Linked DNA regions of Arabidopsis thaliana. The protein of the gene in region 1 interacts with the protein of each later gene in a pairwise test. Each region holds a gene or a part of one and is shown on either strand. Other genes may lie near its edges.

Region 1 (7,060 bases):
GCAACAACAATCATGGGTCTAAAAGAAAAGAGCTCATATAAAACCTAGCTAATCGTTTCTCTAACAAGGTAAATCTATTCACACACCTTACACATACTTCTCAAACCAGCTACAGGAAAAAGTGCACAATTGAACTTAGATGTACTGAAAATTCGAGATTTCTGCTATGCATAAGCCTATATGACCTTAACAAGCGAATCGCTAATACAAATTGACTAAAGGATGAAAATTTATGCACTTATATAGTCTAAAGTAACTCAGAAATGAACTTAGACGTACTGAAATTTTGAGATTTCTGCTATGCATAAGCCTATATGACCTTAAAGAGCAAATCACTAATACAAATTGACTAAAGGATGAAACTTTATGCACCTATATGGTCTACAGTAGCTGAAAATCGAACATTAAACTCTAGCACAAGTGCTACAAAACAAGGAAGAACAAATCGAACCTAAACAAATCGAGATTAAATAATTGAAATCGAAAAGAAAAAACTCGCCTGCCAAGCATCGAGAGTTCCTTGGAAGTTCTGAAGCCAGCGATCAGCGTGCACACGCACTGTATCATCCGGGTGATGATACAGTGCGTTTAGGGCTTCTTTGACCGCGTTCTGATGCTCCATAGCTATGAATCTTTACGCGTTATTCGCTCGTACGGTCACCAAATCACGACCAGAGAGAAAGACCCAGATTGAGAAATAGAAGAATTTGCCCAACTGAAATTCGGGATTTTGTCAAATCGATTTCGCCCAACAAAAACAATAAAAATAAAAACTTTTTTTTTCCCTCTTTGTCAAAAAGGTTTTTTTTTGGCGCCCCTCAACTTGAGTGAGGAAGAGAGATAGAGATCGAATTTTGATCTGAAAGAGGATGAAGAAGAGAGAATCTCAGCCGTTAGATACAATTACTTTGACTTAAAGTCAAATCCTTCTTCTTTTATTTTGAAGACAGAAGTTGTTTACTTTTTTTCAGTTGTTGCAATAAATTGAAGACAACAAAAAAAACGTATCATTGATTCATCATAACATAAAGATTATACAAAGGACAAGATTTAAGACCAACATATGTTACTGAATCAATTGTTACAAGTTATATAATAGGACAATACAACAATGTTTTATAAAGTGTTAATCTCTCTGGTCACTCTCATATTCTATCTTATGATATAACAGCAAAATGATACACACGCATAGGATAAAAAATAAAGGGTTGCATTCATTTTTACTGCCTACAAAACACATCCATCAATCAGAGAAAGACTCTTTTTTATGTGGTTCGGTTAAAGTTCCCATCAACCTGCATATGGAGCCACTCCGGTTGAGATACTCGGGTTTCATTAGCTTCTTGTTGCTCGTATATTGTTCGATGAACGTCAATCGGTAAAGTCCCGAGCTGATACAACACACCAAGAGCTTTTAGATTTAGTAGCTTTGATTAAGAAAGATAAGATTTTTCTATGTTCTTTTAGATTTGGGACTTACATCACCGGAAGGAAAAACTCCTATTGTCGGACCAGTACTTGCACCCGAGTTAACAACTTCTAGCTTCATTGATAGAAACTGCAGACCAAACTCCATGCTTAGGCATGTATAATTGTAACATATAACAGAGAGGTGTTAACGACTTTTACCTCAACTTGCCGCTGCAATGACTGAATATAATTGATAATCTCATCGAGCACAAGGGCTTTTCCGATTATCTGATCAACAGAAATATCTTGTTGAATGTTTTTTAGGCTATAATAACATCATTCACAAGCAGGGACCAAAAGAACATGTACCTTATTACATCCTGGAATTATATCTTGAAGAGCTGTCATCTTCTCACTGATCTTTTCTCTTCTAGCCTGTCAAAGACAACATTGTGATTCTAATAAAAGGAACAGTTTTTGAGGATAAAATTTATGGTGATTTTAGCAGAAGAATTACTCGCTCTGCTAAACTATGCCGGTCAGTAGCTTGTCCTCTTCTTGCTCTCACATGAATATAATCCTTTGGTGGCTCAGGTTTGTTCTTCTGTTCCGTTGCTTTGCTTCCACCACCACCCGAACTTGTTTCGCCTTCAGGTCTCATCGAACCATCTCCATTTCCACTTTCAGATCCACACAGTTTTCTTTTCTTATCCCCTGATTCTTTCTATTAAAAAAGTAAACAGATGGAAAGCTTTAAGATCCTAAATCAAACTCTCAATCTAAGATCACTAAGTAAGCATTGACCATTCCAACATCTATCAAACTAATGGTCTTCAAGCTGAATCCAACTTAAGTCAAAAAGTCAATGGAGATAAGTCATCTAATCTATAAACTAATCCTTGATCCCTAAACCAAAGACTTAAACTTTGACTCATTGATTTTTAGATCACCACCAAGCTAAAGGATCTAGATTCAAACATTCAAAAGACCCAACAAATAAAAATCAGGACTTTTCAAAAATTGAAGTGCAAAATCTCACCAATTCATTACCACTGCTGCTGGAAGAAACCATCTTTGAAGAATCATCCTCAGAGTTCAAATCTCTAGTCTTTCTACTTCCCCAGCCAGCAGTTAGATCGGTGACTGTAGATTCCTCAGCCGCGGAGACGTCTTTATTGCCGGAATGTTCAGAGCGAGTAAAGACTCGACCGGAGTTAACAGCTAAACGGAGACCAGAGCGAACGGCGTCGTTTACAGGGAAAGGCCAAATCTCGGAGAGAGTGTAAGAAGAAGGATTAGCTGCAGAGAAGGAGGAATCGTTCACTAGTGGAGGGTCCATTTCCGATGATCGTAAAAAGGGTTGACCCAGATTTAGGACCCGGATCCGAGAAGTGAGGAACTTGATAGAAAAAAAGAAGGAAAAGGTTTGAGCTTTGCGAGGTCTTGTCTTGTTTATAGGGTTGTGTGTGAGGTGGACAAATAGAGAGAGAGATCGGAGAAGGTAAGACAGATGTGGGTAGTGATAATGCGCCACTAGTATGCAATGGAAGATGATTTATCACCAATACTTTCAGAAAATCTCATTAATTACACAGCTTACATCAAATATTTTGCCGTTTCTGTTATAAAAAAAATATTACAATGGTAAAATTTTCGTTTCGTTTAGAAACAAAATTGAATAGAAAAGATATATTATGGCGCAATAACCTAAATAATTTCTATCAAAAATAAAAAATAAAAATCTCACAATTATGTCTTTTAGTTATCCTTTGATTAAATTATTTTTTACTGTGAACAACTTTGGTAATTTTACTGTGAACAACTTAAATACACCAAAGGACAATGCATCTCTCTTAGAAAAAAATACATACTAGCAAAACCAAATCATGTTACTTTGGTAATTTCATTCTGACGTGTTTAAGGAAAAAACGTATATGTTTGGATTAAAAATTTGATCTTCGTACCATATGTCCATCCTAGTAAGTACTCGATCGCCTATGTTTACAATAATATTCACCAATTAGTGTTTTTTTATTTAACATAGATCTCCCACTTCATAGTCATATGTTTTATGAAAGTTAGTTGTGTAAAGTGAAGGGAACCACACACCGGTACGTAGGATACGATCGAGGATGTGACAATGGGCCATATATTTAAATTTTAAATGCTTAATCACAAAAGCCAAAATTCTAGCTAAATATATAAAACGCTAATATGAAGGATAGATGACATGTGTTTTAGTCTTTTTGTTTGCATGTCAACGTTCTTCACGTTAAATTTTTAAAAATTCAGAAGCTATAGTTTTATTATGTTCAATGTAGTTTTAGCCTTTTTGGTAGATGACATGTTCAAGGTAGTTGCGGAAAAATACAAGGAGCCAAGAGTGTCATTTTTCGTTTCGATGATTTCAACCTTCATTTGTTGTGTTTATTATAAAAGTTTGTATTTTTGAATGATGAATACAGAGATATCAAACGTTTTTAAGAATACAGTATATAACAAACAAAAAAGCTCTAAAACTATTCACTGAGTTAAAACTTTTAAAAGTCAATTCTATAGCATTGAATGCTCTAAATGTGTAGCAAGAAAATTGTTTAAAGACCAACAAATTAGAAATTGATGTTTTTCTGCAAAACTTTTTTAATTATTAATTTTATTATCGAATTAAGTGGAATATGTTTATATTTTGATGAAATAATGAAAAGGTGGAAAAGACAAGTGTAGAAAGAGAAGACACCTGGATGCAAAGGTGTCACACATGAAGCCCAATTCCTCTCTTTCCATTTTTCCCATAAAGCTTTTTTGCTCTACTCATCAAGATACCTCTAATAAAAAAACAAGAAACACTATTTTTTTGTTATCAATTTCTTCTGTTCATTTCAGTTTGGTCATGAAATTAAGAAAATTAATAGAGAGAAAAGTCAAAAATAAAAACATGAGCATAGGAGTACTATGTGACTTCATTGGTGATGGAATGACACAGTTGGCCGATTTAGCACCGACTAAGTAGACATTAATCAATAATAGTTTAAATTTCAAAATAAGAATCATATCTACTAAACAATCAAATACATATGATTCCATCTACTATTATTGTTTTTTTTTAATTTATAAATCATATAGTACTAATTAACTAATAATTTCACATTCTGTCTCGTGTAATCAAGACAACCTTTTCGATTTGTTTTTTTGGTCGATTTGCTTAACCTTAAAAATCTTATTACTTCAATTATAAGATTAAAATTCGACAAAAACATAACGTTTTTCCTTTTTATTCTACTGGTGGTGGAAATAATCATCTAGAATAATAAAATTACTTTAATTTGAAAAGATAAATCCAACGAATCTATAACTTTAATCGAAAACTAAATAAAATAAGGAAAAAGAGAAGATTTAAAAGCGAAGAAAAGATTCGAAAAAGAGAGAGAGAGAGATGGACCAAAACGGCGGTTTATTCAGACGTCAGCAGCACTAACTAAGAAAGAGGAGAGAGCTTTAACTCTTCCCCTTGCTGCTTCCTTCTCCAAATTCTCCTGACGCGTTTCTGTTCATCTTACGATTTTACACGTCTCTCTAAAGATTTAAATTTTCGACTTTACGTTTCTTTCGGGTTTTGAATTTTCTCACTAAAGATTTGTCTTTTCCATAGAAAGTTCTTGAATTTTCTCTCTTCGTGTTCAAAGGGTTTTTCAGAATTTATAGTAACCCACCAATCTACTGATTGTCTCCGTTCATCGTAATCTCTCAAGATTTGATTTTTATTTGTTTTTTGAAATTTTGAATTTTGAGATTCTGTTCCTCTTTGATCATCATCACTAGGGTTTTCTGTTTCCAGTTAAAAAAAAGTTTGGATTTTTCTTCGTATAATTTAGGAATGAGGAAGCCCAAGTTGTCAAAACTCGAGAGGTTAGAGAAATTCGACATTTTCGTTTCTCTAAGCAAGCAGAGATCGGTTCAGATACTAATGGCGGTTGGGTTACTCTACATGCTTCTTATCACATTCGAAATCCCTTTCGTCTTCAAAACCGGGCTTAGTTCTTTATCTCAGGATCCGTTAACCCGACCCGAGAAGCACAATAGTCAGAGAGAGTTACAAGAGAGACGAGCTCCGACTCGACCTTTAAAGAGTCTGCTTTACCAGGAATCACAATCGGAATCACCGGCTCAGGGTTTAAGAAGAAGGACTCGGATCCTTTCTAGTTTGAGATTCGACCCGGAAACGTTTAACCCGAGTAGCAAAGATGGGTCTGTGGAGCTTCATAAATCTGCTAAGGTAGCTTGGGAAGTTGGTCGAAAGATATGGGAAGAGCTTGAGTCTGGGAAAACGTTGAAAGCTTTGGAGAAGGAGAAGAAGAAGAAGATTGAGGAACATGGGACAAACTCGTGTTCTCTCTCTGTTTCCTTAACCGGGTCTGATCTTTTGAAACGTGGGAATATCATGGAGCTTCCATGTGGTTTAACTCTTGGGTCACATATTACAGTGGTTGGGAAGCCACGAGCTGCTCATTCGGAGAAGGACCCTAAGATATCGATGTTAAAGGAAGGAGATGAAGCTGTGAAGGTTTCACAGTTTAAGTTGGAGCTTCAGGGTTTGAAAGCAGTGGAAGGAGAAGAGCCACCTCGGATACTCCACTTGAATCCAAGGCTTAAGGGTGATTGGAGTGGTAAGCCTGTGATTGAGCAGAACACTTGCTATAGAATGCAATGGGGCTCAGCACAAAGATGTGAAGGATGGAGATCTAGGGATGATGAAGAGACTGGTTAGTGTAGATATGTTCAAAAGCATTTATCTTTCATCTGTTGTTTTTCTTGGTGTTTTTGTTGGGGATACTAATTAGTAAGAATGGTTGTAGTTGATGGTCAGGTTAAGTGCGAGAAATGGGCTCGGGATGATAGCATTACATCTAAAGAAGAAGAGTCTAGCAAGGCGGCTTCATGGTGGCTTAGTCGATTAATAGGTCGGAGCAAGAAAGTAACTGTTGAATGGCCATTTCCATTCACAGTTGACAAGCTTTTCGTGCTTACTCTTAGTGCTGGATTGGAAGGCTACCATGTTAGTGTCGATGGGAAGCATGTCACTTCCTTTCCATACCGAACTGTAAGTGATGTTTTGCCCTGGCTTAAACATGTTGTGGTTTGATTAGTGATTGGTGTGAACTGATGGTTGTCTATGTGCGTGGTTTCTTGGCAATATATGAAGGGATTTACGCTTGAGGATGCTACTGGTCTAACCATTAACGGGGACATAGATGTTCACTCTGTTTTCGCTGGCTCTCTCCCAACCTCGCATCCTAGTTTTTCTCCTCAGAGGCATCTTGAGCTCTCGAGCAATTGGCAAGCCCCATCACTTCCTGATGAGCAAGTTGATATGTTCATTGGTATCCTTTCTGCTGGTAACCATTTTGCTGAGAGGATGGCTGTGAGGAGGTCGTGGATGCAACATAAACTCGTTAAATCTTCCAAAGTAGTGGCTCGGTTCTTTGTTGCACTGGTAAGTTTAGACTAATTTACAAGTGATCTGATCTTGGTCTTCTAGGTTAAAATGTAAGAGCTTCTCATATCGAATTGCAAGCTAAACTCAGATGTTTATTTGGGCAGCACTCAAGGAAAGAAGTAAATGTGGAGCTAAAGAAGGAAGCTGAATTCTTTG
Region 2 (5,135 bases), on another chromosome or scaffold:
CTCATTACACCACGCAAAAGTCTTTTACGTGTATAATCAAACGTACATGAAAAGAAAAGATATGGATGACAGTATTTGTTGAATTAAATTTTGTCGAAGAGGGTTTTTGTTTGCTTCTCTAATCGTCGGACCCATTGTTTCCACTACTCAACATTCTGGTCCGGTCTTTTCTGCCGGTTGAACCGATTGCATTTTCCTTCTCTTCTACGGATTCCATAACGTTAAAGTGAGGAGTATTGGTGGAATTAGGGAACTCAAACACAAGGTAAGAATAAGATGATAATTTTGTATTTTTCTTGTTTTGTTTTTTACGAGTCGATAAGTATGGACTGTAAATGTAAAACTAGTGTTTGCTTTTGTTTGTAAATAGCGTTGTAGAAAGAGGAGATTCTTGAAAATTTGGCATCTCCTCGGCCACATTCACATATGAGGTTCATAATTGGAGTCACATGGTTGCATGTGATCACATTGGGTCTACCTTTTAGCCACATATGGCCAACTCCACATTTTCTCCTTCTTCTTTTTTTCCTCTTTTTTCTTTTCGTTTGTTTTGTAGCTATCATTCGATGCATTTATATTATTTAATTAACAAAAGCATACCTATACATATTTGCCTCACTATTAATTCCGCTTTTCTTCACAAAAACCATATCATGTGAATGAATACATTACTATCTAAAACTATATCAGCCGTATTAAGAAAACTAGAAAAGGACAAAAGATGCAGTATGTCGATAGATGACATTTGGATAACCTATCTATCTCAGTTGACAAATATCTTTGAAATACAACCATAAATTAGTTTTTTTTAAGTTTCATCTAACATGTACTTAAAATATATATATTTAAAACCTATAGCACATCCTCCAAGCTCGATCCAAGGACTTATCAAGATGGATTTTGTGAGAAATCTTCTTATATAACTTGGAAGACACAATGACCCACAAACATGTTGCCATTTAATTTGATATACAACAAAAAGGTGTGAATGCTTTTGAAAGACATATTGGGTGTTAAAAGAAAGAGCACACGTGGGGAGTCTTAAAGAGGGAAAAAAGATGTTCCAAGAGACTCATTTCTCAATCTTATTGTTTCCTCTTCTTTTGGTTCCATTTTTGTGGTCCTTTTTGCTCACCACTTCTTTCAATGTTATTCCTAGTGGATTTCTTCTGACAACTAACTTTTACTAACTTGTATTTTATACCATAATCATCAATTTTTCATAATGTCAGTTCTCTTGAAGAGTCGTATGCTACTCCTTGTTATCATAATTAATGTTGACATTCAAGTAAATGTTTTTTTCTAATCAGTTTGAAAGATTTTGAGGGCATTTTGAGCAAAAAATACACTTTTCGACATAAACTTCAACGTCGGAAAAAGTCTTTGAGAATCACATGGAGTCCATTGGCCCCAAAATTAAGGTGGGTGTCCTCAACACGTTACACGCACATGCTCATTTTTGAATTGCTTCAACTTGCAAATTATTTGTTCTTCTCCTTACTTTTTAGTTTCTTTAATTTGTAGGTCTAATTTTTTTTTAAAGCGTTAAACAATTTTTGGAATCGACATTAGTTGGCATTTTGTTGTTGTTATTGTTTAGATAACTTTGATTATCTAACGAAAAAACAAAGAAAGATCAAAATGGATACAAAAAAAAAGAAGTGATGATGTATACAAATAAAATACATGAATTTAATAAATTAAAATCGCGTCGACGAGAAAAAAAAAACACTTGAAGCCAAAATAAAGGGGTAAAAAGGTAAAAGAAAAGCTAATTAACAACTGACAAACTAACTGCCGCCGTTAAGTTCCGGTCAACGTCGTCCGTGGTGCGGCTGCGGTTAAAAGTTCGGCGAGAGCCTCCATGGCTCGAACCTGCATCTCTAACGCTGCGATGTAATCGGTCGCTTCATCTAAAAGATTCGGTACAGAGACTTTCCGGCAACCAGGAACCAAACGGCCAAGAATCTTCAGTTTTCTCTCAACCGCCGGTAACTTAATCCGATTCGTCTCCGTGAGACCTTTTCTCGATTTACAATTTCCCGTTGACTTTTTCGCCTTTCTATGTTTCTTCAGCTTCGCTCGGACGCGACTCGCTAAAATCGCTCTGCTCCACCGAGTCGTACCACGAGCGGACGCAGCTAGAACTCGATCCGCCGTATCACGTATCTCCCTCGCCGCGCCGGAGACGAGTTTATCGGTCTCGTTGTTGCTGGTGGTGGAAGATCTCTGACGAACTCGGCGTAAAGCTTCGACGAGCTTACAAGCGTAGATCTGTTGCACACGATTCGTTTTCCATCTCTTCAAGCTTTCTTCGTTGACACGTCGTGCCTCTATCTCCGCCTCCGCCGTCTCTGATATCCTCGGCTTCTTTCTTCGAGACGATTCACCTGTGTTTTCGATGCTCGGGAACAGAGACTCCACCATTAAATCCGATTTAAAACCAGAGATTCAAAGAAACCGATGATAAAAGGCAAAAACAACAATCTCTTCTTCTTCTTCAGATTCTGAGAGTCTCTCTTTCTCTCTCTCTCTCTCTCAATGTGACTAGTTAGAAACAAGAGAAGATGAATGGAGAGAGATCAGTTTTTATATCTCTGCCAATCGCCAGCGGAGCTATAACACTTAATTCCACTTTTGCCCTTATTTACCGGTATTTGTTTTTTGTGTTTTTTTTCATTAGTTAAAAATCTTTTGTTTTTAATCTTTTGTCATTCATGTGATTGTTCTTTATCTTTTTGCCTTGGCATGAAGCTCCAAAATTATGCCCTTTAATAGTCAAAATGCTGAGCGATGCAAATATATTTTCTATGTTTATACATTGTAACTCCAAAGGTCAAAGAATATAGACGATTGATATATATATTTTTGATAAGTTGAGAAATAAAGGGTGATGTTGAATCTTTTGTTTCAAGTGGTTGCGGTAGAATTCATGTGGTTTTATTTTATTTTAAAGGTAAGCAGAGAAAGGGAAAAAAGCACTCAGAGAGTGAAATAAGCAAAAGAGAAAAGAAAATTTACCAAAAAAGCATTCCATGTGACCATTTTCATGGCGCTGCCATATGAGAAAAAAGGATCTCTTTTGTGTGACCTTTACTCATTTGTAATGTTGTGGACAATTTTCCGCCAACAAATTCTCTCCTTTGCCGTTTCCCACTATTTTGTGTGTGATTTGTATGTTTCTAATTGATATCTCAATCTAAAGAGTAATGAGTAGTCTACAAAGGAAAAACAAAAATAAAATTCAAGAGTAATGAGTAGTATATGTATATTGTCTTCATACCATAGTTTAGAAAATATTTTTTCTTGACAAAATTCGATCCTTCGTAACGGTGAATGTCATTGTCAATTTGTCATATATCACGAGGGAATTATTAGTTCCTACACCAAGTTCTAAATCTTAAACAAACCATGATCTAAATTCTATAGTAACTAATGTAAAACATTTACTTTTCTTGATCAATTCGTTTTTGGCACCTTGCTATGGAAAACACGAGAGAAATGTTTTAGCAATTATGAGTTGACACTAAATATTATAAGTGCATTTTTGTAGTAAATGTGTGATTTATACCAAAAAAAACAAGAAAAAAAAAAAGAAGATCTTGAAGAGAATCTAAAAGGGCCCTTTTCTCTGTAATTGGCCAGAGAGGCTTGCCCCCTTAATTGAGACATCGTCTCCATGTCTCTTCCTTTTCTTAATATTTTAACCACGCTCAAATATTTCTTCTCCGACTCTCTTAATAATACTCACCAAATTTTTAAACTGGAACCCATTGATATATGTGGTCGTAAGCTTTTCTTGTGCGTGTATATTTTTTAGATTCTAAAATATCACAAGATTCACAGCGCACATATGACACCAAAAAAAAAAAACACATGTCTATATGCATCAGACCAATTATGGAATCTCCCAAGGAACAAAAACATGCTCATTCGTGAATACAGTATCCAAGGTGGGGAAGTTAAAGACTAGATCTTACTCAGGAATTCATAAACACTGAGGTCAAAATCGAACAACATCACACAAAGGAAACAGCTCTCTTGGATCAAGTAACTTGTCTTTGCTATGTGGTTGCGTTGCTTTTCAGTTATTACCAGGAGCCTTCTGTACCTACTGTTGGGTTTGTGAACGCCTTGGCCCCTTTATAAAGTTTTAAATCTAGTCCATTAAGGCTCATTTATCGTTAGACTTACTGGGCCTGTATAGGCCCGAGGACAGATGTTATTTTGTTATGTTGAAATCGGGAGTTCAAATTTTCGAAATCTTCCGTATTACAAGATACACTTGTCCTGTTAAAATAGTACACTTGCAAGATTTTTTTGTTATATCTTAAATATTTTGGTTTTAGTTAGATGTTTGTGGATCACCTATGATTTGTAAGGTTGAATCCATTGGGATTGGTCAACCATACTTTTTTCGGCAATACCTATATATTAATAATTCATGTTTGTGTTTCAATTTAACTAATTTTAGTTAAGGCCATAAGAAAATACTAACACACTAATAACTATATATAATGCATTATTGATGTCATCAAATTCAAACTGGAGTCTCAAATTACTCTTAAATGAATCGTTTTATAATTTTTATGTTTGTTGTTGTAACATATTTTGGATTGAATGTAGCATTTGACATGTTCCCATGTCCAAAAAATAAAGTTCTAATTAGAAACGAGCTTGGTCCCGGTTTAGTTCTTCAATACCATTGTCATTCAAGAGATCACAATCTAGACGTCGCAAATTTACAATTCAATGAATATAAAGAAATCGCATTCGGAGACAAGTTAGGAAAAAGAACAAGATGGAGTTGCATTTTGAAACACGGCTTATACATGCGATATTATTCAGAATTTATAGCATACATGATGGCCAACGTTCGTCGATGCGGTGCTATCCGTAATTGGATTGCTAGAAAAGATAGAATTTACCTTATAAGAAATGTAAATCCGCCAGCAGTGTTCCGTTATACATGGAATAAAACTAAGTAATGTTGATGATAATAATATTTTTTTCATCTTTGTAATTTACATCAAGATTCTTCATATATATATATATATATTTGCAGTTATTTTGTGAAATAAATCCTATAGTTAAGATTTATTTACAATGACTGCCACTGGATTTTAATGTTTGTT
Region 3 (5,808 bases), on another chromosome or scaffold:
TCATAAAACTCTTGCAAACGCTTTAATTTTTAACCATTAAATCAGTGGTTCAAAATATTTCATGACACTTGAAACTACAACCGTCCGCTTTCACAAACTCCCGTATTCATAACCGTAAACGCTGTAAAACGTAAATCCATAATTTTCCCACCAAAAACGTAAATCCGTAATTTTTCTGACAAATACAGAAACCCGAATATTCCTACCCTAAACGTAAATCCATTAACCAGTCATAAAGCTCCCGAAAACGCACCAATTTTTAACTACTAAACCAGTCGTTCAAAATGTTTTATAACGCTTGAAACTGCAACCGTCCGATTCCGTAAACTCCTACAGTCGCAACCGAATTGCTGCGTTTCAACCAGTCAGGCCTTTAGATAAGGTTTCTTAGTCATGGGCATTCGGTTATCCATTCAATTTTGATTCGTATCCATACGGTTATCGGTTCTTTCGGTTATAAAGTTTATTATCCATTCAATTATTTTTAAATTTTGGTTCGGTTTTGGTTCCGTTCCGGTTCTTTTGGTTTTAAAATTTAAAATTCATTCATTTATTTTTCTTTGAATATTTTCGCATATTTTGGTTATTTTTGATATTTTTATATGTTTTCGGTATTTCGAGTATTTCTACTGTTAAATAACTTTTAATTATTTAGTTTATAAATAATTAATATTTTTGAAAATATAATTATATTATATTTCGGATATTTTCGGTTATCCAAAATATTTTGATTTGTAACTATTCGGTTTTGGTTCTTTCGGTTATAGAATTTAATATCCGTTTGGTTATTTTCAAATTTTTGGTTTGGTTTAGTTTTTTTTGCATCGGTTTCGGTTTGGTACATTCGGTTCAGTTTATTTGCCTAGGCTTAAGTTTTCTTGATAAGAAATTTTAGGCCCATGTTTTTATATAGATTTTAGTTTTGAAAGTAGTTTGGTTGGGTTAGACCCATATCTAATTTTAATTTTGTTAAGTAGATGAGATGACATAGAAAAATGGTAAGCTTTTATTGGTCAACGTAAATAAGGTGTATTAATCGAAATGTTCTGATTGGTTGTTGATTTTAATGAGGTGTCATGCTGAGAACACTTAAAAAAGCTGATGTGTCAGCGCATGAGAGACTTTTAGAGTTTTTATGTTGTTGATAAGTTTTAATTTCAAAAGATATTTTACTAATCAATCTTAGGGTTTGGGAACTCATTCATCTTATATACCAAGTTCTGAAACAATGTCAAATCATTGACCAACCTGTCGGCTCTTCCTGCCTTCAACTTTTGACCTTGTCACGTCTTTGAACGCAAGATCAAATTAGATATAACAAAATTCGATTTTTGAACGCAATATCAGAAATATAATTAAAGTCCCAAATTGTATCCTATGAGTATAAAATTCTCAAGCATACAATCCAAAGATATTGAACGCTTAGTATTAATTTAAATTCTGATTACATCATTTACGTGTATGACGTAAACGAATCAAATAATTCAAACAAAAAAAAGAGATAAAATAAACGAATCCATTATCAAAACGATGATCGTACACCAATATATATCTCAAGAATCAAAAAAATTGTTGGACATAACTCGACATACAAATATAAAATAATATTTAGAGTATAAAACGTCAAAATGTGACTCTTCATATCTCTAGTATTAAATTATATATATATATATAAATAAATAGAATTAAAATCCGAAGGTGTCTCTTGAATCATCTGGTCAGTGCATTGAGTTTTAGGTCAAGGCCAATGTCCATTCCGTTGTAAGCAATAGGCGCATACATCCATAGATCATCAGAGCTCAATAACTGTATAACATAACATTATTCATTATAACCAATATTTAATTCTCTATCTTTAATTGATACAATATTTTCTATGGTTTAATTTATATTATAAGCATTGAGAACCTAACGTACCTTAATTTGGAGCTGTAGAAATTTGACGTATTGTACTGCTTCTTCCAACATCGTGCTAATATCAACCTGATACATACATATTTAACACATTTAATTTACTTAGTAATCATGAAACGAAATGAGTAAAAAGTGATGTGGTTACGTAGTAATAAATAAGTTTGCATGGAAAAAAAAAGGTTTGCATGAATGAAAGACATATGTACCTTTGTTCCATTAGGGACGAGATGTTGCAAAATCCTTAGCCTCTCGTTTATCCTCTCTCTTCTTTTCTGCACCATCATACAATGGACTTTGTTTAATTGTTTCAGCTATCATAATAAATTTTGTTATGTTTGTACAATGCATATACATAAGACTCATCATCACATTTGTGTACATGTTTGAATAACATCGAAGCCTTAATTTTTAAAGTTTATGTGTAAATTACCCTTGCGTAAAGGCTTTGAGGATCTGTGGCCGCGCCGCGGCTGGCCCTAGTCTTGCCGTTGAGGTTGAGAGCCTTAGAGTCCTCGCCATCTTCTTTGGACAAGAAAGTGTCTCCACCGTTTGATTCGTCATCCGAACAACAAGTCTTTTGCGGCTTAAGTGGTTTGGTCTTTCTCTTCCCCGCAGCCTTCTCCGTATATTCTTCTTCGCCGCTATTTTCATTTTCGCCACTCATCTCTACGCATTTCTGGCTCCTTCGTGCCTTGTTGGCTCTCTTGTTCTTCTGATTTGGTTTCAAGAACATTAAAATATTTAGAATTATGGTTTCGGCTGAAAAAAAAAAAAAACGTTTGTACAACTTACATCAGTTGTTGTGGCACGCGTCCTCTTCTTTGAACTCTCACATTGGTTGAACATTTTCTCATCAGTGGTCGTGGTCAAGGAGTTCTCAGGCTGTAGCATACTATGGTCGTGGTTTTCTGCGACAGTCTCCAAAGGCAAGAGGCTTTTACCGGAGTATTCCGTCGCATCACATTCACTTGTCTCTTCACCAACAAGGTACAAGTTCGTGTTGATTGTCGCGTCCTCCATCCCATTGTTATCTTCTTCTTGCCGTGGCATCGCCGCGCAGTAACCACTATAACTACTGCTCTCCTGAGAGAAGCAAAAGCCACCATTCCATTGAGAACCCTGGTGGTGGTAGGCCGTGAGTGTGGCGGTTGTCTCTGAAGATGAACCGCCACAAGGTTGCTCATAGGAGGCAAGGAGCTGATTCATAAAGTCAGCTTCCTCTGTATATATTCCGCCTAGGCCGGTGCTCCATTCTCCCATGGCTTCCATTTTTGATCACTAAGCGACTTTAACAATAGACTAATTAATCTTAATTAAAATCCGATAAGTAATGTGAGAGTATTGAAGGAATGATTGAGAGGAGTTTGATGTGTGTATTATATATAGGATCATGAGAAGTAATGGATATAATTAAATGTCAACCAATAAAACATTATAACCATCTTTAGAATAAAGTATTTTTTTGGGTAACCAGGTCTTGATACCCATAGATATGAACAGCTAATTATAGAGCTTAAAGAAAGCTTTGTCTTTCTCTATATCTGTTAAGCATGAGTTAAAATCTGTATTTAGTCATTGGTAATTCAATACAAAAAGAAGAGGATCAGACCTATACAAATCCTTGGAGGGGAGATAAATCCAGGTTCAACTGTATCTATTATGTTAATAATATAGAGTTGTGAAGAAAATAATGAATGTAAGGAAAAGGTACAACTAGGAAAAAATATAATTGTGATGTATCAATCCCAAAACCAGGGACTTATACATATGTTTAATTTATAATTGATGTATAGAAGACCTTTGCATTTGAGGATTTGTTTGAGCAAGTCTAAAATATGAAAAACAATCTCTTTCTAGTTACAGTCGCTATGATTGGTTCAAGTTCTTAAAAAAACGGTTAACAATTTGTTTTAGTGGTTGGAGGAAACGGTTAGAGAATACCAAGTTGAAAAATAAAACATAATATCAAAAACAAACATGACAAAGAAGACTCAAATAACAAAAATAATCTTATACCAAAATATGTTTACACTTTTAGTGGTACAAAAATTTGTTGGGTTTCAAAGTAACAAAATATCATAGATTTGTCAAGTTGTGACGTGAGTATATATTGTTATGAATGTAAGAAAAAAAATAACTAGGAGAATTATCATTGTGATGTATCGATCCCAAAAGCATGGACTTATACGGATGTTTAATTCATAATTGGTGTATATATAGAATACCTTTGCATTTAAGGATTTGTTTGAGCAAGTCTACAAGAAGAAAACAATTCTCTTACTAGTTACGGTCGTTGTGGTGAAAGCAGTTAGAAAATTAAGTTGACAAAAAACAATCCGATAACATAAAAAAAAAAAAAAAAAACAATAAGACAATCTTATATTGTTGGCTTTACACTTTTGCTAGTCTTAAATTTTGTTCGGACTTAAAATTACAGAATATCGTTGATCTATCAAGTGCGAAGTGACTATATTGGTATGCAAGAGCCGGATCATGGCCGAGGAAAATATATATCCCTTCATTATACCAACTTTGAAAGATGGAATGTTGATGCATGCAAATATCTTGAGAAGCTATAATCCAATAGACATGTTAACCAAGGTCATCATGTATGATAAGATAAGGAAATGTGCAATTTTATTCGGATTTTTAGCTAATGTAAGGTAATGTGCTTGTCTATAGACTAAGGATCGAAGTCATTAGTCTATAGACTTGCAAATTTTGCAAACTTCTTGTTGGTGAGCATTGGAAAATTTATGGAGCCTCTATCTTTATTTTCTTTATGTTATCTTAGTTTTAATTTGTATGAACTTCTCTCGTTTAAAGTTTAATAGTGAATGAAAGTTGTTTGACAAAAAAAAAGGATCGAAGTCATTAATCCTCCAATTAGAGAAAAATGATTACTATTTTGTTCATGTAAATACTTAATATATAGTCTACCACTTTGAATAAGTTCCATCCATAAATTTGAGTGAGTTCGAACAAGAGTTTTTAAATAAGTCTAATGTTTTCAGGGGAACGAAAATGAGAGGTGTGAAGGGGAGAAATGAGAATGAGAGACTCGGTTGTTGAACGTGACAGTTATTGTTGATATTAGTAATTATTTTATGCATTAATCAAATGTAAATTAAATAACTAATGACTCATTATAAGCTGACAAAAAAAACCAATCAAATTTGATTAAGTTTAAGTCAATGAACGGACGGCTGATCGTGCGCGTGGAAATGCTATAACCCATTCTTATCAAATATACACTTTATTTCAAAGTAATTAAATATGGATAATGAAAATGGTTACCATATTTTGTAAAAATGATGCGACAGATTTGAATGGTAAACAACTAAACAAATACGGTTTAGTGAGTAGTCAAAATTTTCATCTTGTACAAGATTTGATCTGACATAAAACATGTATTTTTTGATCAAAAAAACGGGTAGTAATATGCAAGTAAACCTTCTTCTTCTTATACCAAAATAAAAAAAAAGTAAACCTTCTTCTTTTTTAAGTAGTTATAAAAAAATTAACATTCGAAAAATATACAAATTTTCAATTTAACAAGTAGCTAATTTTCAGTGAAATTTCTAAACCACATATATATATTTATTCTTAGAAATTATAAATACATAACAAATATTAAAATAATTTGCGTGTTAATTGTAAACCTAACAATATGACCTAGATGAGTAAAATGCACTTGGTAGCTTTCGTTAACTCCAAATTCGTCTTTATATATTATCAATAACCTTGTTTATGAAGTGTTCCAACCAATTTTCTACTTCGATGAATATCGCTGCCATCAAATTCATCTAGTATGGAGTGTACCTCTTTCAAACAAAGCCTTCATGTAGGGAGAGAGTCCGACATTAGCTAGTGTGTATGCAAGAACCACACACA
Region 4 (6,892 bases), on another chromosome or scaffold:
AGATTAATATAGTAGTAGGCCACTAAACACCAGAGAATATACTAATATATGCCATGTATTAAAGAGAAGCAGCTCTTGTTGGTTTACTTTTGAAGTAAAGTTTCTGTGTGATTAAAGAAAAATCCGGCTTAGTGATTTAAATTAGTGGAAACCAATTAGAAGAGTTTTGTTTGTTTCTCTTAATCAGTCTTGTCCTTGTGTCTTGACATTGATTAATGACCATATTTTGTGTATTACGTAATCAATGGTCTATATCATTTTTCTTGCTTACTTTCGTGGCGTTTGTATAGTTCAGTCTATGACTTTTTTGTGAGAAACTGAGTCTTGCTTTCGAATTGGATTCCCACTATAGATTTAGGAGTAATTATTTTTCACGTGTATGATGAAAAGCTGGTATTAAACCTAGGCAAATCATGGGTTGGAAATTCAGCTTTTCGATTCACAACAAAGATTGTCATTGGTCAAGTAATTGTCACGTTTGCTCAGTGTTGTTGGTAAAACAATGATGGCAACTTAAGAGTTAGGCTTCCAAATGCTTATAAATTAGTGTACGTAATCTAACAATAATCATATTTCTACTATTTAAACAGGATTTGGCTGCTATCACTGTGAGAAACCAGGGACAAAAAATCAACTACTTCTGATGAAGCGAAACACATAGAAGTTGGAAATATCATTTGAAAAAAGAAAAAACTACACAGGTTAGTGTTTTCATATTTGCCTCTGAAAAGTGTTGTTAAGTTGATGTTAAATTTACCAAAAGACTATTAATCATTTCATATTAGCAATCCAAAATAGACCCGTTGAAAAAACAATGATTGAGCATCATCATCTGTTAATCTAATCAATACTTCCCTTTTTCTTCCTTTAAAAAGAAACTAGTCCTTCTTCTTCCATTGTCTGTCGTTCACTTAGTTTATTTGGTGTCTAGAATTAGGGAGGCAATCTCTGTGCCACCTTCATCATACTTAATAGTTAGTTTTCCTTTCCTTATCAACTTTTTTCATTAATATAATAAGAAAAAACTCATTACATCCGAGATACATAATGATTTGCAAATAAATTTGAAAACCTTAGATAGCTGGAATTATGATTTACAGTAGTAAATTTTCATAGTAACAAATTTGAACTTCCAATCCGAAATATATTTATTTCTATTAATGGAAGATAACAATTACAGCCAGCAACCTTTGTGATACATGTTTTTTTTGTTGTTGTTGTTGAAGTAGAGCCCATGAGAATTACGCAAATCGCAGATTCGAATAGTGGTTTCTTTGACTCAGTTCGTAAAACAGATAATTCATTAGGTTGCTTTGTTCTTCACCAACAAATTTTCTGCTTGATTCTAAAGTATAAATTGAGAAAATTTAAGTATCTAAATCGAAAATATATTCTTAAATTCGAAGTAGATAAACTATTTTATTGTAAGTGACACTTTAGTGAATAATTGGATATGTTGTTTCTTATCATTAATTTGTCATGTGGAATCATTCTAGCTTATAACTTTCTAAGGTACAGAGAATATGCCACGTTACTGACACAATTATTAACCCTTAGCCCTTAGGTTAAATGAATACTATTATCTATGAAGCATTGCGCATTGCGCTCTGTTTCTAACATCCTTTCCACCCGCCTAAAAACATCTTAATACAGTATATATACCATTGTGGTACTTTTATGTCTAACATAAACTAAGATAGGTATTTTCCATTTTAACTGCTGATCAAACTCAACATAGTGAACAGTACAAACAAAAATCAAACTAACAGTAACTTTTCTAGAAAATTAGTTTGAACGTAGCTAGCTTTATTTATATATGAATTAACCCAATGGAGAAGTTCAGAAGCTCCTTTTTTCAGCAGGATATATGAATAAAATGACGCCACTCCCTTATACTTTACCCAACAATCTATTAATCTTATATCTACTTATACATATACACAAAATTTAATGAAATTTTATTCATACATATTGATAGATACACATACAAAACTTTTTTTTGATAAAATACAGGAGTTAATTTCAGTGATCTTTTCTTTACAGGGAAAGAAAAAAAAGCCGTAAAGAGAGGCAGTGCCACTAACCCTACATCGCACATGCATTTCGTTTGGTATATTACTTTATGCGTAAAGTAGTATTTTAAATACAATTCCAATATTTACGAAATCATTGCACTGAATACAAAATCCAAAGTTTTGAGTTTTTGGCCCCTCTCTTTTTGCCCTGTCAGTCCATTAAACGACCACTATAAGTCGTAAATGGATTTCTCCAATAGTAATATGACACGTCATCCTTTCGTTTGAATCTACCTTCCTCCTCCATTCCACCAAAGTATCGGCCTTTATACAAGTTTGTTTGTTTTCTCTTTTCGTAAACATCTTTAGATATCAATAAGCTAATTTAGTAATTAAGATTGTACCCTAAATTGATTGGAAACTATCGTTATGGATGCTCTACCCACATTAGGATCTTTGTAGCATTTCTATTATGTATTTTACTCTCTATTTAGATTATGTCTACAAAAGATCGAAAACTCGTGATTGTAAGAAATTTTGTATATAAATTTCTTTCTAAAATCTCTGTCAAGAGGGTAAGTTTAAAAAAATAATTGTGAACTAATCAACGTGGAACAAAACTTTTTAAGTATAATCATAATTCATAAACATTGCTTCAAGTCACAATGATGTCTCTGTCTCTCATTATTCCAAAACCATTAGAGGTTATAGAGCCAGTTAATTATAACTTATCAATTCCACTAGTGTTGAGAATGAAATTATTTGTTTCTTGGTGGTATTCACGAATTCTCTTTATCATGCATTACAAATGCCACTTTCGTATCTGGCTAAAACAACAAATACTAAAAAACAAATTGACAAAACGACGCCGCTTATTAACTGCTACATCTAAAACGGGGCCGTTTGTTAACTGCTACGTCTCGTGATAGTTGATACCTCTCTCCCTTTATATATCTTCCTCTTCTTCTCCCTTCCATTATTCTCCACAATTTCATAACTTTCTTCCGCTCAACTTCAGATAAATTCGGATTCTGTAGCTCTTTCAATACGACTGCGGAGATCAGAGCCAATTATTTGGTTATGGCGTCTCTGATCTCAGATATTGAACCGCCGACGAGTACTACTTCAGATCTCGTTCGGAGAAAGAAGAGATCCTCTGCTTCATCCGCCGCATCGTCTCGTTCAAGCGCATCTTCCGTCTCCGGTGAGATTCACGCGCGATGGCGATCGGAGAAGCAACAACGGATCTACTCAGCCAAACTGTTCCAAGCGCTCCAACAAGTCCGCCTCAACTCTTCCGCCTCAACATCATCATCTCCAACGGCTCAGAAACGAGGAAAGGCCGTCCGTGAAGCCGCCGATCGAGCTCTTGCCGTTTCCGCTCGGGGAAGAACACTCTGGAGCAGAGCGATCTTAGCTAATCGGATCAAACTGAAATTTCGTAAACAGAGACGTCCTCGAGCTACGATGGCGATTCCGGCCATGACTACGGTGGTTAGTAGCAGCAGCAACAGATCGAGAAAACGGAGAGTGTCGGTGTTGAGATTGAATAAGAAGAGTATACCGGATGTTAACCGGAAAGTACGTGTTCTAGGCCGGTTAGTTCCCGGTTGCGGTAAACAATCCGTACCGGTGATTCTAGAAGAAGCAACTGATTATATTCAGGCTCTGGAGATGCAAGTGAGAGCCATGAACTCTTTAGTTCAGCTTCTCTCCTCCTACGGCTCAGCTCCTCCACCGATTTGATGAGGTTAAAATCGTCTTTTTAATTCTACCATCTCTCGATCTTTCACAGCTTATGTGTATATAGAAGATTCGGTTTGATTATAATCTGTAACTACTCTTCCCAACCGCTGATTCTTCTCTGCTACAAGTAAAAGTAAATTTTGAACCGAGTCTTCCCATTTTTACGATCCTCAAGTCTAAATTAAGTATATGATTGATTAATAAAGTCTTTACCATTAGGGTTCAAATCGTAGTTGGATTATTTGATTTAGATTGATGAATTCGTTGTTGATCAAAAAAAAAATAAGATTGATGAATTCGTTATTGGAGTTAGTGGGAAAATGGGTTCCTCTTTTAACCTCATAGTATGTGATAACTAAACCAATATGGAACTTTTGATGTACTTTTAGTTCATTCAATATGGCTTTGTACTATATCATCTTATGTACTATATGAAATTTCAACATGAAATAGATTTGTACTGCAATAAAGTGGAAAGAAAATAATTTCCCATTTAGAATTTTAAAATACATTATAGTAGATGTAGGAAGATAATGGGTTAACTTTAGTTTTGATTATGGTAGCATGTGATGATGCATTAGAGAATGAATGGAATGATACATTCAAATTCATTGAATTGAATGATGACTGATGAGATTGATCTGTCACTCAATCATCTACTCGCTTTATTGCCCCTCCTTTGAATCCCATTTTTGATACTTATAGGTTGTTTGTCTTCTTTTTCTTTTCTTTTCCTTATTTCACAAGAAATATAAAGGAAAAAAAGAAGAAAAAAGATTAAATTAGCTAATAATTCCCTGTTACTAAATAAGTTTTCTCAAACACTAATCTGCAGTTCTGCACGTACTGTATATCCTTCAATATTCATCACGAAGCAAAACTGAATAACCTGTAGTTAAAATTGACTTAACAGGAGTTTGATTCATTAGCTTAATTAATATACGAATTTCTGTGATAGGGATATGATTTAAGAACACTGGAGTATGACTAGGCGACAACAAGAGACAAGTGACGACAAAAGCAAAAAATATTTAAAACATAGAGAGAAGTGACCTTAAAAGTATGAGGAGGCACATGGGAGTGGCCATGCCTTTGTCCTCTTGTTTCTTTTTAAGCCTTCTCTTATTAACTTGCACGACAACTCTTTTCATCACATATTTCATAAGTTATATTATTATTGCCAAAAGGGACAAACTATTAGAGAAAATAAACCGCAACATTGTAGAAGATTGGATTAAAACTCGCCAACACACTATTAGAGAAACTTGCCCAGATAAAATTATGTCCATGTCGAACACAGTTATAACCAAGGAGCCTAATTCCCAAAAAATGATTTTTATATTTGGAAACCATCCATTGCAGATACTCCTGGAGGTTTCTCCTAGTCTTCAGTGCCGAAGATTTCACGACAAAAGAAGACTTGAAAATCTCGATACTCTTTTGCGGAACTTTCCCACCGCGACACAAAGAGATCACTCCACAGAGATATGAGGCAGCTTTGAGTCCTTTAGACGCGGCTTTTGCAAACATTCGATCCCTTTCTCTTCATCAACAATATTACTGAATAGGTAAAAGCACTTCACAATTCCTTCACGAGCCACTGCTTCCGTGTTTCCGCTCTCTCTGCATCTCTTGAGAAAACTCTAGCTTTAGTTATAGGTCATCGTTTGCGGTTTTGATTTCGTCGAGGCAGACGTGTTCGAGAACTTGAGGGTCGTTGCAGAGATTATGTAATGATTTGCATACGAGGCTGAAGTTGAACAAGCTTGAGTGAAGAAAGAGCCACGCGTGGCAAGATCTCCTTCACAACCACTTCTTCTGGGAGAGACTCCATTTTATAGTGATTTGAGAAATGATATTTTAATTTAGGGTTTCAACTTAGACGTTTGCTTATTAAATTGTGTGAATAAATAAATATATATATATATATATATATATATATATATATATATATCATTAATAAATAAATAAACGATAAGAGTAACCTTAAAAATCTAGTTGAACCCTAAACCCTATGGCTAATATATACAATGTAATATATTATTCCTCTAATCATCTTTTAGAAATTTTTTATTATTTTTAATTTACACATAAATCAATATCTTTTTCAGATATAGTTTTATCTACATTGTATGTAATACCTCCATGTTGCTACACGTTAACACTTGCATATTTGTTACTCAATCTAATTAAGCAGGAATTAAAAACAACGGTTAACCGGAAAACTTTTACTATTTATCCATTCAGTATTATCTTATAGCTCAAATTACTTTTAGTTTTTACATATAGGATATAACTCTCACACACGTAAAATACGATTAAATTTAAATTCAAACTAGGACACTTATCTAATCTAGTGTTATCTGAATTCATAGAGTGTTAGAAGAATTAGGAAACGTTTTTTAATCAATAACATCATTTTTGGGAATAATATGTTTATCAAATATAAACCTACCCAAAGAAAAAAAAAATCACCAACAAATATAGTACGAATTAAGATTCATAAACGTGTTCCGGAATCCAAAAGATCGAAAGTTTTGGATAAGTAAGATATTCACAAATATTCATTTTTAAAATTCAAAATATTCGATAAATACAAGCGATCTTCCGGAACAGATCTTAAATACGATAAACAATTAATATATTTTAGAAATAAGATCGGTGGCAATTAATAATTATGCTCTAGCGAAGACGTTTCGTGATAACTGTGAACATTAGAGGTTAAGTGACGACAAGTGATCGAGAGAGACAGAGAGAGCCAAAAGGAGAAACTACAAAAATGGCGAAACCGGAAGAAGTATCAGTCCCGATCTTCACATCTCTTGAGCCTGTCTACGGCGAAGGATCTCTGCTCCAAGAAGCTACACAACGATTCGATGTTTTGAAGGCCAATTTCAACGATGTCTTCGGTGCTTCTCCCCAACTCTTCGCTCGCTCTCCTGGTAAATAATCTCGGGTTTTTGAATTTTTGCAAAAATTGGAATTTCGTTGACTTTGAGATGAATTGGTTTCTAATTATTGTATCGATGTCTGCAATTTTGGTATTTGGATGATGACATCAGATGATCTTCTGTTTGGAATTGTTGGATATGATTGTGAAAATAGATGGTGAAGGTGTTTGTTATATTTTG

Evidence for each region.
Region 2: the proteins of AT5G62610 (region 1) and AT1G09250 interact in binary tests that used the Arabidopsis thaliana proteins (3 or more experiments, as listed by UniProt).
Region 3: the proteins of AT5G62610 (region 1) and AT2G14760 interact in binary tests that used the Arabidopsis thaliana proteins (3 or more experiments, as listed by UniProt).
Region 4: the proteins of AT5G62610 (region 1) and AT3G06590 interact in binary tests that used the Arabidopsis thaliana proteins (3 or more experiments, as listed by UniProt).

Annotation. Positions count from the first base shown.
Region 1 is NC_003076.8:25,131,852-25,138,911, forward strand, and holds AT5G62610 (basic helix-loop-helix (bHLH) DNA-binding superfamily protein), read right to left. Parts: upstream 4,215-7,060; 5' UTR 4,148-4,214; intron 3,056-4,147; exon of another isoform or gene 3,030-3,055; 5' UTR 2,750-3,029; coding exon 2,450-2,749; intron 2,135-2,449; coding exon 1,928-2,134; intron 1,846-1,927; coding exon 1,780-1,845; intron 1,699-1,779; coding exon 1,630-1,698; intron 1,559-1,629; coding exon 1,481-1,558; intron 1,392-1,480; coding exon 1,266-1,391; 3' UTR 997-1,265; downstream 1-996. Other genes in the region: MOS14 (ARM repeat superfamily protein), read right to left, coding at 500-622; AT5G62620 (Galactosyltransferase family protein), read left to right, coding at 5,285-6,170, 6,264-6,508, 6,611-6,901, 7,009-7,060.
Region 2 is NC_003070.9:2,986,801-2,991,935, reverse strand, and holds AT1G09250 (basic helix-loop-helix (bHLH) DNA-binding superfamily protein), read right to left. Parts: upstream 2,796-5,135; 5' UTR 2,428-2,795; coding exon 1,804-2,427; 3' UTR 1,509-1,803; downstream 1-1,508. Other genes in the region: AT1G09245 (Plant self-incompatibility protein S1 family), read left to right, coding at 4,569-4,988. UniProt on the Arabidopsis thaliana protein: Atypical bHLH transcription factor probably unable to bind DNA. Negatively regulates brassinosteroid signaling.
Region 3 is NC_003071.7:6,320,130-6,325,937, forward strand, and holds AT2G14760 (basic helix-loop-helix (bHLH) DNA-binding superfamily protein), read right to left. Parts: upstream 3,269-5,808; 5' UTR 3,184-3,268; coding exon 2,707-3,183; intron 2,627-2,706; coding exon 2,345-2,626; coding exon of another isoform or gene 2,330-2,344; exon of another isoform or gene 2,226-2,329; coding exon 2,121-2,225; intron 1,984-2,120; coding exon 1,918-1,983; intron 1,807-1,917; coding exon 1,711-1,806; 3' UTR 1,458-1,710; downstream 1-1,457.
Region 4 is NC_003074.8:2,051,516-2,058,407, reverse strand, and holds AT3G06590 (basic helix-loop-helix (bHLH) DNA-binding superfamily protein), read left to right. Parts: upstream 1-2,741; 5' UTR 2,742-3,095; coding exon 3,096-3,761; 3' UTR 3,762-3,765; exon of another isoform or gene 3,766-4,719; 3' UTR 4,720-5,329; exon of another isoform or gene 5,330-5,408; 3' UTR 5,409-5,661; downstream 5,662-6,892. Other genes in the region: GALK (Mevalonate/galactokinase family protein), read left to right, coding at 6,541-6,703. UniProt on the Arabidopsis thaliana protein: bHLH transcription factor that binds DNA on specific sequence 5'-CANNTG-3' in target gene promoters. Negatively regulates brassinosteroid signaling.